Linked DNA regions of Astyanax mexicanus. The protein of the gene in region 1 purifies or fractionates together with the protein of each later gene. This does not show direct contact. Links are inferred from orthologs where the notes say so. Each region holds a gene or a part of one and is shown on either strand. Other genes may lie near its edges.

Region 1 (5,806 bases):
TTGTGTGTTACCATACTATGGTGCCAGAAAAATCGTTTTAATAAGTGCTGACTGTACTAAATATGAAACAAAAATTGAGTAAGATTAAGTTTCTAAGTTTCTATTTATAGGTATATGTTCCCAAATTTCAAATACAAATAGTGTAATATAGAGCATTTACTGGCAGAAAATGAGAAATGATGCAGAGCTTTCAGATCTCAAATAATGCAAAGAAAACAAGTTCATATTCATTCAGAAACAACAACAATACTAAAGTTTTATCTAAAAAAGAGTTCTGAATCAATAATTGGTAGAATAACCCACATTTTTTAATACAGCTTTCATGTGTCTCTGCATACTCTCCACTAGTCTTCCACACTGCTTTTGAGTGACCTTATGCCACTCCTGGCTCAAAAGCAGTTCAGATTTGTTTGATGTCAGATTGTCAGATTTGATTTTCATCCTCTTGATTATATTTTATAGGTTTTCAATGGGGATCAGGTCTGGAGATTGGGCTGGCCATGACACTGTCTTAATCTGGTGGTCCTTCATTGACACCTAGCTGTGTGGAATTAAGTATTGTCTCTTGATGTCATCCTGCGGTTGCTGACTGACATTCAGTTGACGGTCAATCTCCAGCCTGAACCCCATTGAAAAACCTATAATCATGTAGGATGTAAGTTGGTCACAAGCCATCAAACAAAGCTGAACTGCTTGAATTTTTGTACCAGGAGTGGTCACCCAAAAGTAGTGTGAAAAACTTGTGGAGAGCATGCCAAGAGGCATGAAAGCTGTGTTAAAAATCAGTGTACTTCCACCAAATAATGATTTCTGAATATTTTGAAACATTAGCATTGTTGTTTATAAATAATTATGAACTTGTTTTCTTTGCATTATTTAAGGTTTACAAGCACTGTACCTTTTTCATTATTTGGACCATTTCCCATTTTCTACAAATGCTCTAAATTACATTTGTATTGTAACTTATAATGGAAATTAAGTAAAACAGTACAATTGGTGTATAAGGCCCATTCTGAAGATTATCAGTGCAGCACTCTTTATTATGGGACAATGCAGTTTGGCAGAAATCACAATCACATTCAGTGCAGGAGGCCACACATTCATATCCTGCAGGTCAGTGCACCGTTTTTTTATCTTCCATGTGAGACAGTAATCTAATAACATCTAATATCAGTGGAACACAAATGGTAAGAAGACAAAGTGGGGTTGCTTGGTAAACACCATTGTATGTAGACACAAGCATAAAATTTACTTAGCCAAGTCATTCATATGTGAGATAAGATAAGACTTTATTAATCCACTAAAGCAAAATGAGTGTTCCAACAAAGTGCATGCACCTAACAACCATGTGCTGAATATAAAAAATAAAACAGTGAATGTGTATGTATGTTCATTGTCACTGTCACAAAAAAAGAATATCTCTATTGCTCCTGAGGTGCTGGATGTATGCTATAGGTATAGAAATCAGGTGAACAATTCAGGTTTTGACTATCAATAATACTATTGCTAATAATAGTTCTCCAAATCATCACTGAACATCAACAAATTTTGAATTTCATTTTGAAATCAAGGTACCAGAGTCTGGAGGAAGAGTGGAGAGACCACGAGCTGCTTGAGGTCTAATTTGAAGTTTCCACAATCAGTGATGGTTTGGCGAGTCATGTCATCTGCTGGTGTTGGTCCACTGTGTTCTATCAAGTCCAAAATCAATGTACTGTTTTCCTAGAAATCTTTCAGCACTTCATGCCTTTTCATCACTCATTTATGTTTAGTAAAATCAAGAAAGACCATATTTTATTTTTTATAAAAAAATATTTATGTTAAGTTAATTTTTTTATTTTTATAAAAAAAAAAAATATTTTTTTAGGAAATAGTTCAACTTAATAGAGATAAATTGTTGCTGTTAAAAATGCATTTTCCAATAAACGGAGTATTGGCAAAACTGGTTATAATGTTTATGTTAAGGCGGCGGGAGGTGGTGTCTGCAGCTGCTGAAAGTAACTAATAAAGTAACTTGTAAAGTAACTTAGTTACTTTTAAAATCAAGTAATCCATAAAGTAACTAAGTTACTTTTTAAAGGAGTAATTAGTAATCAGTAATCGGATTACTTTTTCAAAGTAACTATACCATCACTGGAAATAGCTTACTGAAGTAACTTTGATAAACTCAATAATATTCTATTATTATTTTTATTATTTTAGATGCACTAGTAAAGCATGAGTGTTTTTAAGGAACAGAAATCTGTAGATCTGATATTATTAATAGTAAATTGGATTGCTAGTATGATTAAATTGTTGATTAAAAAGACTGAAATTGTTTGCTATACTGTACTGCATATTACTGGATGTAATCACTGAACACGGAAACGACTCCTTGAGTGAACGGTTTGATTCATTGGAATTTACAGTTTGGTAGAGTCGGTTCGTTAGAATGAATCGAACTTGCCTTCACTATCAGGCGGGCGGGCGCGCGCGCTGGGTAACAACAGAAACCTCCCACTTCTCTCCGCGGCGGAGAGTCACGGGAGCTGGAAGTTTTTTGGCCGAAGCTGGAGGGAGGGGAGCGGTGCGGGGGAGCGCGGTCTGACCGAATAAGTCGAGTTTACTGCTGAAGCCTGGCTGCAGGCCTGGACTGGCTGACTGACTGAGAGTGGGTAACGTAGCTAGGTTAGCTACGCTAGCTGAGCTAACGGCGAGAGGAGGCATCTGGAGCGGGGAGGAGGGTTAGCCAGCGCGCTAGCTGTCTGAGGCTAACTGTGGAAGGGGAAGTGAGCGGCGGGGGAGGTGTGTGTCTGTGTGTGTGTTATCTTCCTCCACTCAAAACAGAGAGAGAGAGAGAGAGAGAGAGAGAGAGAGAAAGAGAGAGGGAGGACCAAGAGGACTGAGAGTTGACTGGCTTGAGCTTAGTTAGCTAACTAACACACCCACTTTAAGTCATTTTCCTAGTTTCACCGTTGTGTTTGGTGAAAATTAGCTAGTTAGCTTAGCCGAACTAGCTACCACGGCCGCCTGACTCGAGGCCAACTGCTTTTGACTGAGCGGGTGACCGTTAAAGGTGGAGCGGAGCGGGGCTCGCGCTGTTAGCCTGCTAGCTAGCTAGTTAAGCTAGGTTAGCTAACTATATCTAACTAACGAATCTCAGTCTCGTTAGTTGTTAACTGGCAGACAGCCTGCTAGCATTGGTAGCCAGCTAACTACCTAACAGTTAACGTACAGTTAAACTACAGTTAACTACATTAGCTAGCGAATTTTAACTAGTTAGCTTGCTTGCTAGTCACACATCCACCCCGTCACTCAGCTCTAGCCCGGGGAAGTGGTCTGAAAGAGGGCAGGCGTGGCTGGGTTTTCCGCTCTGGAGGAAACCCGAGGGACCGCCGCGATGGCTCCGAAGTGACCGCGGGCTGGAGCAGCGATGCGGGGCGAGCTGGAGGAGATGAGCAGCTAGAAGTTTGAGGGTCGTGTTTGTGTGATTTGGACTCTTCTGTACTGCTCCCCTCATTTCGGGGAAGGCAGAATCGTAGCTAGGGGGTAAGGATGAAGAAGTTTTCTCGAATGCCAAAGTCTGAAAGCGGGGGGCTCGGAGGCTCCTCGGGCTCCGGGTCCGGAACCGGGGGCAGCAACTTTATCGGGAGGGTGTTCGCCATCGGGAGATACCAGGTCACCGTGGACGAGCTGATCGCTGAAGGTATGGAAATGATTACTGTGAATAAAGTGTTATTTATTTCTTTGTTAGGTAAGCGTTAACACTTTACAATGAGGGTAACTTATGTTGAATTAACAGTACTTAACTACAACAGAATGTCTACAAATGAATTATAAAATATTATAAACATTTTGTAATCTTAAACAGTGTCTTTAATTAGTGTCAATTAATAATTAGTTGACAATTTAACAATGTTTATTATTGTCGTTAGTTAGTGTGATCCTTATTAAAGTAAAGTGTTGGCTAGATACCCTTTTCTTGTAGGAGTGGGCGATATGGCCCAAAAATATCATCACAATAATTCAGGGTATTTCTGCCATAATGATATAATTGGTGTAATGAAAAAAGCACAATGTTTAAAAAATAAATGGTGGTCCAGCTGAATTCGGTTCATGTAGCTTGCCATCAGCTGCCAGAGCCCTAAAAGAGCACAATTGGCCTTGCTTTCTCTGGGTGGGTAGATGGCGATCATCACTCCTAGGTTGATGACAGTCAGCACAAGGCGTCTGTGAGCTGATGTATCGGAATCCAAGTCACTGCGCTTTTGTTCAAGTGCGCTTTGATGCTACTCTGTAATACTTCATCAGCAGCAGCTCAAAAAGAGGCGTTGGCTGACTTCACATATATCAGAGGAGGCATGTGCTGGTCTTCACCCTCCTGGTGTTCGGGCATCAATCATAAAAGGGTGGGTCTTTATGAGTGGGTTGGGTAATTGGCATTGTAAATTGGGGAGAAAATGGGATAAAAAAAATTAGGAAAAACGACTGCCACAAAAGAAATATTAAAGCTTTATTTATTCATTTAGTAGAAACCAAAAAAATATTTGTAAACATATGTGTGTTATGAGTAAGAAGTAAATTACTAAGAACCTTATTTTGTAGTGTTGTAAAAATCAGTAACAAAAATCTACCACAAAAATAGTGCAGCATATTTACTGCATGCATATATAATGCAAACAACAAACAATTCAATGTAAATAGTAGAACTAATATAATTTTAAGAAGCTTTTAAGAACACCATGATATGGATATTTCTTTGTGTGAAAAAAAGTTATACGATATTATTGTCTACAGTACGGCACACTCCTATATTATAGTGTAGCAAAACTTTGGTAGCTATGAGCATCATGTCTGAGAGCATGTTGTTCAAACAGTCTTTTTCTGTTTCTTGTCTGTACTTGTAGGTTGACATGTTTTAATTTGCCTCACATGAAAATATCAGATGCGCTTAAGACAATGTCTATTTTAAAACTAGATATTGTGCGACCTTGGTGTCTAATGTCTCTAATCTAGTTTTTTCAGTGAGTACTTTATAATTATATTCATTGCAGTATGAAAAATATCCTGAAAGATAAGGAAGTGCTAGATCCTGTATGAAAATTACTTCATAGAATATGTGTGAACTATCAATTCCTAAAGTACAAATACAGGAACTGACACTGTCTTATCTGTCAGAAAAGTTGAGATACTGTAGCTGACATGATGCTGAAGAACTCACAAACAGTTCCATATTAAGAGCAGCCTGTACACCACCTAGTCCAGGCCACCAAAAATGTAGGTCTTTGTAGGAAAGCATGCTGAAGGCCTGTCACTGACCTTGGCCTTGGCCATAACAGTATGTGTCCATCCTGTTGTTTCAGTCCTCGGCACGTCAGCTGTAGAGAGAGCAAGGGGTTCACACAAGCAAGCACAGTCATCACAGGCCTCCCAAGGATACCCCGTTTCCGCAAAGCTTTAGATGAAGCCAGATGTACACCACCCTAGAGATTACTCAGTTGTCATTCAATGTTTGCTTAAAAGGGCCAGTTTTCTACAATATTTGCATTTTGTTTTGAGGCAGTTTATATTCTTTCTTTATCTCTTTAGAAATAAATGGCCTGTTTTGTGTTACTCTTTATATACATAAAATATTTTAATATATTTTCTGAGTGGTGGTCTTCTGATTGTGTTGTAATTTATTTAAAAACAGTCCTGCATGGCAGAAATGTTCTGTAATGTAGTAAAGTCTCTAAGTCCCCCATTGGGAACTACCTTCTTTATGGTTTCAGCTCCAACCAACATCTAACACACCCCTTGTAGTCAACTGAGAAGTTTGGAAGGCAGT
Region 2 (5,806 bases), on another chromosome or scaffold:
GCAAAAGGGCAACAATGTGGTCCTCTGCCATACGTGCAAAAGGAGCACTTGAAGCGCAAACATCCAGGAGCACTATGTCAACAGGGTCACACAGTAAGTTACCGTTTACATCAGGGTCTCCGCGGGTGTCCTTAAAAAGACTTAAGGCTGTCTACCAAAGGTTTTAAACCTGCCACAGGCAGAAATTATACATTTTTGGTTTATATTTGTGCATGGCATTTCGCAGTTTCCAGAAACAGTAGCATTATTCATAAGTTCAGGTGTTTAGCTAAGCTAGCTGCCTTAAGTTATTTTAGCTAGCGCCGTCGGCGCTGCGGTGTCACACCGTTTTCTGTCACCGTCGGAATTTTGTGACCAGTGCTCACGGTTATGAGCGTTCATTGGCAAAACGGAAGCTTTCTATACCTACACCTTACCCTCAGCCCTAAACTGAACCGTTTTGGCCAGTCGGGGTAAACATTAGAAACGAACACGTTTCGAATCGGCCAGTGCACCGGTCTGCTGAGAACTACTTGCCAGTGGTCACAAAATCTAGCGGTCACAGAAAACAGTGCAACACACGGTTGTGGTGTATGGGAGCTTATCCATTTTTAGCGTTATAGATCTAAACAACGTGCTGTACATGTAAGTGATTATAAGTGTGGGGTTTGGTTTAGTAGGCTTGTGTTGTTGTTGTTGTTGTTGTTATTATATATAAATATAGTAATTTATCGTTTGCTTTAAAACGTAAAATAATTATTTAAATATGTTTCTCAATGAATAGATTAGTCGACTAATCGAAAAAAATAATCGTTAGAATAATCGTTTAAAAAATAATCGTTAGGGACAGCCCTAGTTTCATTACTTTAAAGTAACATATATTAATAGAAACAATATGGTTTAGAGGCTCTTTAATATTGAATTTAAAAGCTGTACCGAGGCCCAATATGTTAAACTATATTTGATTTTGCAAGGTTAGTAAATGTTTAAGTCAATTAAGAAAGTCTCTCGACTAATGATATCAGATCGGTATGGGGTATCAACTTTTAAGTTAACTTCTGCCTCAGTATTGGAAGTGAAAAAGTGAAAAAAGTAATAAAAAAAAAATCACTGCATCCAATACAAAGCTATAACTACAGTACCAGGCATATTTGGACAAACCTTTCACCTCATAAAATGTTTTTCTTTATTTAATTGTAGATTAATAACAAACACATAAAAACAATTAAGGCACATATATGGAATTGGAGCTTAGTGCAAAGGAAAAACAGCAACTACTATTTAGCACCTTCAGGAACTCCTTTAAGACGCTAAGAAAACTATACCAGGTGACTCTACCTCATAAAGACACTGAAAAATACCAATTGTGCAGATCTGTCCTTAAAGCTAAACATGGAGGAATCTAAAATATGAAACATATTCTGGTCTGTTTAACAATCATATTCATGTACAGCTTTAATGATTTCAATATTAAATTTATAATGTAAAAATTGATTTGTATAATATTGCAATATTTTGAGATTAAATATTTAAGAAAAACAGTATTGAATACAAAACAATAAATCAACCTGTTATGGTTGTGATGATAATCGTTATTGTACATAATAATATGGATTTGTGGTGTAACCAGAGGGATAGTTTGAAACTAACTAGTAGTTATTAAGGACTTAGTAGAGACTTTACACACAAACTTAAGAAGGAACTTACGCAAAAGTGGTGCAATGTTCTCTAACTATAATTATGCTTTCATACTATGAGAGTTAAAATTGTTGATGTCGATGTTATATACGGAATTGTTTATAGTATCACAATCTATTGCTATATACCGAATCGTAACCCCTTCAAGTATCGTATCGCCAGGATCACAACACGCAGTCCTCAGTATTCAGTTGTTTTGCGGGCTTACCTTCACGGCGTGCTGCAGTGCGGGTTTGACAGCACCCATCAACGAGTCCTGAGCTAAAACCTCAAAAATACTCGGCCTGTCTTCCACTGCTGCTGCTGCTGCTGTGGTCAGATGTGCTCCTCTCTCCGCCATTCTGAGCGAGTTTACAGATAGATAACCTACTTAAACTTCAAAATTAGACTGTAAATCAGAGAATACTTCAGTTAGGAAGCGAACAGCGGTGTCTATAACCCACTCTGCGCTCAAAACAACCAGAACCGGGCGCCATAGTGGCCAAAGTACAGTGTAAACACTGTTTAACGCATGCCATTCTCTGCACCTCGGCGGTGCAACAACATGGCTGTTCCGTGTTTTTCCAAGAGCTCCCAACTTTCCGTTCCGGCCGCTCCATCTTCTTCCCCCCTCCGTCTACAGCTGTGGCAGTGAAAGCGGCCAGCAGCAGCAGCGGTTCACTCCAGCTCCGTTTACACCCGGATACCCTTTAAAATCCTCTCCGCTCCTGTTTCCGAGGTAGGGGCTTTTATTGTTGCTGTTTTGGACAGTCTGTTTATTTGCTGGCGAGGCGAGTTAAAAGGCCGATTTAACGAATGTCGTTCATTTTTCGTAGATGATAGCTAGCGATAGGTTAGCTTAGCAAGCTACCTAGCTAGTTAGCCTAGCCCAGATAACCTAACGTTAAACGGTCACACCCAGGGGTAATTGCTATGGGAGCCTCAAATATCGAGCTTAAATACATTATTTACACTGAATATACTGTGTTTTCTGTCTATGGGTAAATAAATAAACAGTGTTCTGTCTGAGAATGGAGCTGAACGGATATGAACGGATTCCTGGCCGGCCTGCTGTGTTTCGGATGTTCATTCTGATTAGATAAAGTTATTAAGACATATTAGACGTTTCTTTCATTTGTTTTCCAGCAGAATAAGCTTTATACTGAACATATATCTCTTTTTAAATTCACCATGACTATATTAACCTTCCTACCTGGCTAACATTACACCCATAGCCAAATATATAGTAAACTACTTATATATTTTCTTAATTTATTTAAGGGTTTTTTTTTTAAGAAACTTATTTACAAATCCTTTGGATTAATGATAATTATTGAAGAGTTTACATATCATTACACCATCAAATTTTTTTAATGCATAGATATACACGCATAACTATACACACATATATTCTTACAGGTCTGGAACATAAATAAGAGACCACTTAAAAATTATGTGTTTCTTTGATTCTACCAAATTGAAAACCTCTGAATTATAATCAAGAGGAAGATGAATAGTCACAAGACATCAAACCAAACTGAACTGCTTAAATTTTTGCACCAGGAGTGGCATAAAGTTATCCAAAATCAGTGTGTAAGACTGGTGGAGGAGAACATGCCAAGATGCATGAAAACTGTGATTAAAATCCAGCGTAATTCCACCAGATATTTATTTCTGAACTCTTAAAAATATGTAAATGAGCTTGTTCTCCTTGCATTATTTGAGGTCTAAGAGGTCTGCGTCTTTTTTGGTATTTTAGCCATTTCTCATTTTCTGCAAATAAATGACAATATTTACATTTGGAATTTAGGAGAAATGTTGTTTGTAGTTTATAGAATAAAACAACAAAGCTCGTTTAAATCGTACAACACATACAACTACTACAATATTAGAGCTTATGTCCTTTGTAAGTGTTAAATAAGTTACAGGGTTTGAAAGAGATTTCAGTAAATGTCCTATAAAACATATACAATAGGGTAGGTAGCGAGATAATTTGGCTATGGGTGTAACCTTAGCTAGATTTATGTTAAATCTATCATTCTTTTTTGCCAAACGGCTATTTTTTTGCATTATAAAAAAAAAACTTTCACAACATAAATTGAGACTCCTATTTGTGGTTACATATTTATTTGTATTATTTTAATGTGTGCTTTTCTCTGAAGTGAACTTGAACACCAATCAAAATGACAGACTCAAAGTATTTCACTACAAACAAAAAAGGTAAGGTTTTAACTTTGATTGACATTTATTTTTTCTCATTAATAAATCTGAATTAAACCTCACTCACACCTGGCATGGTAGTTTTATCTGGTCAGTGCTTTATGTTTTATTAACCTTACCCTACAATTATTATTTTCTATAGGAGAGATATTTGAACTGAAAGCTGAGTTAAACAATGAGAAGAAGGAGAAGAGGAAGGAAGCGGTGAAAAAAGTCATCGCTGCCATGACCGTGGGCAAGGATGTCAGGTATGATGGGTTTATTGGACACTGTTATTTAAATGCAGGGCAAGGATCATTTTCAGGGCAATAATGTCACGTGTTCTGTGAGCTATTTGCTTTATATGTTTTTTAATTGTTTGGGCCACAGACATCGCAGTTGTAATTTATTTATAATGATTCTGTAAGGAGAACGAAATTAATTTCTTTTTTTTCTTGGGGATTATTTGTTAGAAAAATGTTTAAATGAATCCCACACTGTGTAGGCTGTAATTTAGCTTAGCTTTAGCTCATTTTCATTTTGACTTATTATTTTGCACTGCAGTTGATGCTTTATTATTATTATTATTATTATTATTATCATTCCTTATTCTGTGACTATTAAACACTCTAGTCAATAATCAAGTAAAAGTGTTTCAAAGTGCTAGCATGTTTTTTTTTTTTGTTTTTTTTTTTCATTTGACTGTTTAAGTTTGTCTCTTTATTTAAAATAGATTATGAGGAGATTTGTATATTGCTGATGGTGGTGATCTTGATTTAAATCTATCCTGCCTCGTTCTTTCCTCTCTGTAGCTCTTTGTTCCCGGATGTGGTGAACTGCATGCAGACTGATAACTTGGAGCTGAAGAAACTGGTCTATCTATACCTGATGAACTATGCCAAGAGTCAGCCTGATATGGCCATTATGGCTGTCAACAGTTTTGTAAAGGCAAGTTTTTCTCTTGATATTAAAGAAGAGATGCTTAAAATGTGCTTATGCTATTTGCAACTTAACTCTCAATAGGTATTGCTTTAAACCACTTGCTTTAAACATTATAAACACATAGAGCATGTAGCTTTTCCTTTATCTTTCAAAATGATAGTGGCATTCTTCTTTAGAAATAACCCTAGGTTAAACATGTTCTGTGAGATTTAATGTCATAAATATTCCACTGTATTCTGTTGGTTTGGAGAAAGCTTGGAGAAACTTTTGGAAGCATTTAGGCTACATTTACATCACTAAACTGAAGTAGTCCAGCTCTGTTTTTATAAGCTGTAGATGAGAGCTGTTTTATTGCAAATTTGTTTCTCTAAAGCCTATTAAATATATAAGTGGTCAATATTGCAATTATTGTTTTAGGATCTGTATGGTCATCATGATTCACAGTGTAAAATTCTGAGTATGTCATTGTTTAATTCAGGTAGAAGATCCTATCTCTATTATTTTAAATTAATCTTGTTAATCACTACAGATGTCCTGTGGTGACATTACTGTGTGTCTGTCTTTTCCCTCAGGATTGTGAGGATCCTAATCCACTCATTCGAGCCCTGGCTGTGCGCACCATGGGCTGCATTCGTGTGGATAAGATTACAGAATACCTGTGTGAGCCTCTGAGGAAATGTCTGAAGGATGAAGACCCGTATGTGAGGAAGACTGCTGCTGTGTGTGTGGCCAAGCTGCATGACATCAATGCTCAGATGGTGGAGGACCAGGGCTTCTTGGACTCCCTTAGGGACCTTATTGCTGACTCTAACCCAATGGTTCGTAATTATGCTCGTTGTGTGCTAAACGTAAAAATTCATATGTTTTATGTATAGGTTAGCTGAAGTTAACATCGTGTGGGTTGCCAGATTGGCACATTTGCCAGATCTCTCATTTTCATGGCTGCAGCATGCTGTTTGCATGTTGTTGTGTTCTATACCTGGCAACCCAGAGTGTGGAAATGGGACTG
Region 3 (5,806 bases), on another chromosome or scaffold:
CAGTTTTTTTTTATTATTATTAAATTTTAATTCTGCATTATAGTTAAGAAGTCAACCAAACTATGAAAAAAATCCATATGGAATTATTAAGTAAACCAAAAGTGTTAAACACACCAGAATATAGATTATATATTAGGTTCTTCAAAGTAGCAAGATAAATACTTTAATTTCTTGTCCTCTTAATGTGTCTGAGAGCATCAGTTTTAAAGTTGTGAAGAGGTAGAGTTAATATACAGTAAATAAGCTCTATTTGAGTAATGTCCTTATTCATATTATTGCCAGAACTACTCACCTAAGTAAAATAAAGAATACGAAGAAAAAATGAAGGTCGGTCCATCCAAAAAAAAATCCAAAACTTTGAAAGTATCCACAAGTGCAATCACAAAGATGATCAAAGATCAGTTCATTAGTTTCCAGCCTCAGAAACAGCAAGTTAACAGCACATCAGATAAAAGCCCACCTAAATGTATTTTGAGTATTTCGGTTTGTTTAACACTGTTAACGGTTTACACCTTGATTCCTTTTGTGTTTCTTTATTGTCAGTGTTCATTTACATTGTAAGAAAATAAAAACTTTGAATGAGGAGATGTGTCCAAACTTTTGACCAGTGCTGAACATTTTCCGTGTTTTGTGAAGCCATCTAGTGGACCTTGCCCAATATTGCAGTCTGGTAGCATTTTGTCACGTGGACAAAATTGTTGGTACCCCCTTGGTAATGAAAGAAAAAAACACAATGGTCGCAGAAATAACTTGAATCTGACAAAAGTAATAATTAAAAATCTATAGAAATGAACTAATGGAAGTCACACATTGCTTTTCAACCATGCTTCAACTAAATTAAACTCATTAAACAGGCCTGGACAGAAATGATGGCTCTGCGGAAAATAACAGGTGTCTTCAATCTTGAAATCAGTCGGTGAGCCTATATATAGGGCTATAGACATAGTGGTTAATTTAAGAATGTGTCACATTTTTAAAATGCAATAATAACTAATACCAACGCATTCAGTTTGTGCAATAATCACAGTCTAAAATCATGCCGTTTAATATGATTTTTTAACAGCTGACTAAATCGTGGCTACACTACTGCTTGTCTTGTGGGTTAGGCATATCTATTTTGAAAGTTAAAAAGACCTGAAACTGTTTTTACTACACTATAATGTAGAACTGGTTAACTACTGTCTCTACCTAATTTGTAATTGGTCTGTCTGACACATTTGGCCTTCGGTTTGCTGGTTAAATTCCAGCCAATGGGAGCGCTCACTTGGCTGTATCTATGTAAACTTCACTGAGGAAAAGAATCCTCATTGGACATTTTTCCTTTTGGCGGTTCAAAGGCTTAACCATTTTGTTGCCAACCAAAATTGAACAAAGTAAAACAATAATTATTGTCCATGAAAATAATAAATACAAGCATAATTTGTTTTAACATTTAACATTAAACTTTGGTAAATGATTAACTATCAGTCAAAGAATTATTACTATCTGGTGGTATGTTAGATTTTTAGAAGCTACTCATGAACACTAGTCAAATCTCTTTAATGGCTTGGTCTCATCTATACATAAAAACAGATAAGTACAGGATACAAATGATATCTTTTGATGACAAAAACGTTATTTCCAGAGCATTCATAGTTTTAACCAAAGTCAAGCTATACCCGTAACCAAGCTCAGCCTGGACTCAACCCAAATGCACTGTGCCGAGTCCACACCTGAGCACAAACTGCAGTTCAGTACATAAGAACACGTTTACCAAGTCTGATTAAAGTTCTTAAAGTTCTGATTAAAGTTCTTAAAAACATATCCAATGCTGGTAGTGTAGCTCTTTAACCAGCATTTTTTCTGGATGAAGCTGGTCTTGAGCTGGGTTTTTTAGCAGGGGAGGAAAGAAATATAGTACTCTAGTTGTCAAATCTTATTTTATTTGATACAAACAGCTGTTTTATTCTGTTATGTCATGTGATTTTTTTGTTTGTTTTGCGTCCTTGGTATTGAGAAACTACTCAAGTGAATGCCAAGTGCCCGAATCGACCATGCTGGCTGGGAAAATCACCTCACACGTTTAAGCTCTGAAGAGAACTTGAAGGCAGAATAACAAGATTAGATTTAAACAAATATATATATATATATATTTCATTTCAGGCTTGAAATTTTAAATTAAAATTAAGATTATTAAGATATAACTTTCTTTATCCTAAACGGATTTTTTTTTGTTAGAATAACACAAAGTGAATTATTACATAAAAAGCTAGAGTAAAAATACCTAAAAGATAAACAATACACTGTGAAAAATCAGTTCACAGATCAGATACCATAATAAATGCACTTCTAACGGCGGTGTACCATTTCACAACTCACTAACTGCTATAATGCGAGCAATGTGTCGATTTGAGACACAGCCCTTTACCGTTGGCCCGTCATCCGGGTCCTTCGTCCTGCTGATGACTGCGCGGTGACGTCGGGGGGCTCAGGAATGGCGGCGCTGCTGAGGGAAGGAGCTCGAAACTTTACTAACAAACAGATCCGCGCATTTCTCTCCAGAGCCGACGCCTGCGCAGGCCGCTCGCTCCGCCGCTAGAAAACGAGCTCCCCGGTGAGAAGAGCGGAGTGCGAACCGCTGAGCGGCGGCGGGAGGCTGATAGTAATAGGACCGAGCCCGTCCGCGGATCCAGGAGTTTGATTAGCTGTTAGCCTGCCGTTAGCCTGTCGCTGCTAATGAGCTAACGGGCAGCCTCGGCAGCGCAGCGGAGACTAACGGGGACAGAGAGGCAGGAACAGCGCGGCTCTGCGGTCCGTACATTTCACCCGGGCGGGTCTGGAGTGAGCTGAGTAGCCGGGGGAGTAGAACTCGTCTTCAGTGGTGTGTTTTGGTCCGGGTCTGGTTCCGCTAGGCTGAGTTCTGGGACACCGCTCCGCTCTCTCTCTGTCGGTCTCCTGTAGTTCAGCTGTATGCCACCATGGAGAGTCTGACCCTGACCGATGTGGAGCAGAAATACTACTCGGATCTGTTCATCTACTGCGATGTGGACAACACCAAGAAAGTGGCCTCCAACGGGAAAGTGCTCGACCTTTTCCGGGCGGCCCAGCTCTCCAACGACGTGGTGCTGCAGGTGCAAGTTCCGCAGACTCACTGTCTCATACACACACACACAGCTTAAGAGCTAGCAGTGTCTCTCAGCCCTGCTCCTGCTCCTGGAGGCCCACTGCCCTCACAACATTAGTGCTTTTCCTCATATGAACACTTGCTAGCTAACCTAACACACCCACCTTAATAATAACCCCTACTGACAGGCTGTGAATCAGTTGATTAGCTAGATCAAGTTGGGTTAGGTGTGTGCTGAGAGCAGGGAAAACACTAGCTAGCTTACTAGCTAACTTAATGAACACTAGCTAAAAAGTGTAGGCTGTATTTTTTTTAAAGGACATTGGCTTAAGTATACTGCTAACTAACTGTAAAACCTTGCTTTTCGATGTTTTAACCCCTTAACAGGCCAGGATTTTTGTCAGTTTTCTGCGTGACATTAAGTTACACCCCTAAATCTTGAGGATTTCTATTCAATCATTACATAAAAAGCTTTCATGATCGATAAAGAACATTACTGAAAGGCAAAATTGTTATTGTAATAGAAAGTATAAAAACATATTTAAGTAAATCTGCTAATGTCAAACTATAATGTATACAATTATAAAATTGTCTCTGTACTGAACTTCATATTAAAATAATATTTTCCTGAATACAAATTAAACAGTTTATGTCCTCCAAACCTTCAGTTTCGTTATTTTTGTGTAGTATTTACGTCTATTTTCAAACATGCAGAATTTAGTTCGATTCCTGTTAATGATCTGTAATTCTTAAGTAGAGAGAAAATAAGCAGCTTTTCCAAATGTCCCATAGGATATTTTTAAATCTCTCAAATTTTCAGAATGTAAATAAGTTATTTTACTGCAGAAAAAAAGGTTTTTATCACCTACATCTGTAGCCTGTATACTCGTCAAGGCATGTTAAGGGGTTAATAGGTTGATTTAAATGTTGTGTCAGTTTTGAGGAATGCCAGTATAGCATTAGCTTTAAAAGGGACTGACTTGCTGGCTAGATGTAATGACAAGACTGGCTCCCCAAAAAAATCTAAGCTAGCTGATTGACTGACACAGGAGCCCAGGATCACTAGTCTATCGACTAAAGACGTGTTTGGGATCTGAAGTGTGTATATTTAAGGTGTTTAAAGTAGCTACAGGAGCTGTCGGATTAATGCGGGGTAGCAAAACGCAGTGCAAATCTATTTTGTGACAGAATTCAGGGTCAAAATGCAGCAAATCTCTCCCTATTCATTGACTACATTAGAGAAAGTTGAACAATGTGTTAATATGATATTTTTAATGTTTTAACCTTTCATCCCTTAGACTGAAGTATGATATTTAGTTAATGCTCTTGACTAATGTGCCCAAGGACTCCTCTTTTTCCAGAACAGCAGTTAAGCCTGGTCTTAGACTGTATTTTTCTTTTAATACAAAATACCATTTTAAATGCTGTGTAGTCTAAAACTAGTCTTAATCCCTGTCTGGGAAATTGCTAGTTGTTGGTGTAATGTGGTGTGTTTTCATGGCCATGGAATCAAATCATAGTTATTGAAATTAAAGCATTTTTGTTACCCACCCTGCAACACCAACCACATTAACTAACTGTTAGTTAATGTTGCTAGAAAGTGTTACTGCTGCAGATAACACAAATGTTGTAAATAACCCAAATAATAAATGTTTCTAATGGCACACTTTGTTACATTCAGCAAAATCAAAGTAATTTTGCACTTACATTTGCCTATATACAATTTAAATAGATATGAATTTCTTTCTATAGAGAATATGATAACTTGCTTGCAGAAAATAAACAAACCCGTTTCACCAAGGTTGCCTAAACCTTCGCATGAGGCTTTAGCTCAGAGTAAGCTTTCTGGCAGGCTTGATAGCTTTGCAGTGCTGATAATATCTCAATACTGTTACAGCTGGTTAACCACACTTATGATAATTCCAGCTATGCTAGACATATCACACAGATCTCACAGCGAGCTTAGACATCTACAGTGTATTGTATAAACAAGCAAAGTCCGTTTGTGGCCAAACATGGGCCCAAATAAAATAGTTTATATCTGGCTGATAGAAGGATGTTGAATAATGCCTGAAAGCTTAGACACAAACAAATATGTTAACATTTAACTCCATGTTTTTGTGGGTGGTCCAGAATAATATCTTTATGGTAAGAGTTGATTAAATAAAGTAGCAGGTATTCCAGGTTTCCAACTTAATCACACTTTTATACCCACTGTTATATACCATCAACAATAGAAATCAGATTTACCTTTACTTTTTACTGTTACAGGTTTTTGTCTATGTATTAATTTATAATACACTTGTTACACTTGAAAATAGACATACACTGTTATAGGAGTTGTAACAGACGAGAGAATCCAGTATTTCTTTTGTGAATAGATCTTCAATGATGATACAAAAACATTTATAAAGTTTTTAGAAATAAGTCTATCTTGATCAGCATTACAGAAAGCAGAACCATTGATTCTGTATAATTACAAATGCAGTAAAACTAATAAAATGCTGGCATTAAAATGCACTGTATAATGAATATTTTGTTATACTGGAGTTTAATAACTAGATAATTAAATATCAGCTTTACATATTAGTCAAATATAAACATCTGTCTGTGGTTGATTATATGTGTAAACACTTATCTTATAGTTATATGAATTCAAAATCATCATCATTATTCCTTCCTACTAGATTGTATCATCTGCTG

What was found. The genes of interacting proteins can lie anywhere in the genome.
Region 2: the proteins of bmp2k (region 1) and ap2b1 purify together in Homo sapiens (affinity purification with mass spectrometry; 3 studies listed by BioGRID and IntAct, with this or other methods). This does not show direct contact. The link is inferred for Astyanax mexicanus from reciprocal best matches to the Homo sapiens genes BMP2K and AP2B1.
Region 3: the proteins of bmp2k (region 1) and reps1 purify together in Homo sapiens (affinity purification with mass spectrometry; 3 studies listed by BioGRID and IntAct, counting the BioPlex papers as one, with this or other methods). This does not show direct contact. The link is inferred for Astyanax mexicanus from reciprocal best matches to the Homo sapiens genes BMP2K and REPS1.

Annotation. Positions count from the first base shown.
Region 1 is NC_064429.1:17,137,829-17,143,634, reverse strand, and holds the start of bmp2k (BMP-2-inducible protein kinase), read left to right. Parts: upstream 1-2,463; 5' UTR 2,464-3,534; coding exon 3,535-3,685; intron 3,686-5,806. UniProt on the Homo sapiens protein: May be involved in osteoblast differentiation.
Region 2 is NC_064408.1:29,622,329-29,628,134, forward strand, and holds the start of ap2b1 (AP-2 complex subunit beta), read left to right. Parts: upstream 1-2,268; 5' UTR 2,269-2,395; intron 2,396-3,818; 5' UTR 3,819-3,839; coding exon 3,840-3,876; intron 3,877-4,018; coding exon 4,019-4,124; intron 4,125-4,667; coding exon 4,668-4,803; intron 4,804-5,369; coding exon 5,370-5,615; intron 5,616-5,806. Other genes in the region: pex12 (peroxisome assembly protein 12), read right to left, coding at 1,886-2,017. UniProt on the Homo sapiens protein: Component of the adaptor protein complex 2 (AP-2). Adaptor protein complexes function in protein transport via transport vesicles in different membrane traffic pathways.
Region 3 is NC_064408.1:82,930,251-82,936,056, reverse strand, and holds the start of reps1 (ralBP1-associated Eps domain-containing protein 1), read left to right. Parts: upstream 1-2,449; 5' UTR 2,450-2,957; coding exon 2,958-3,110; intron 3,111-5,806. UniProt on the Homo sapiens protein: May coordinate the cellular actions of activated EGF receptors and Ral-GTPases.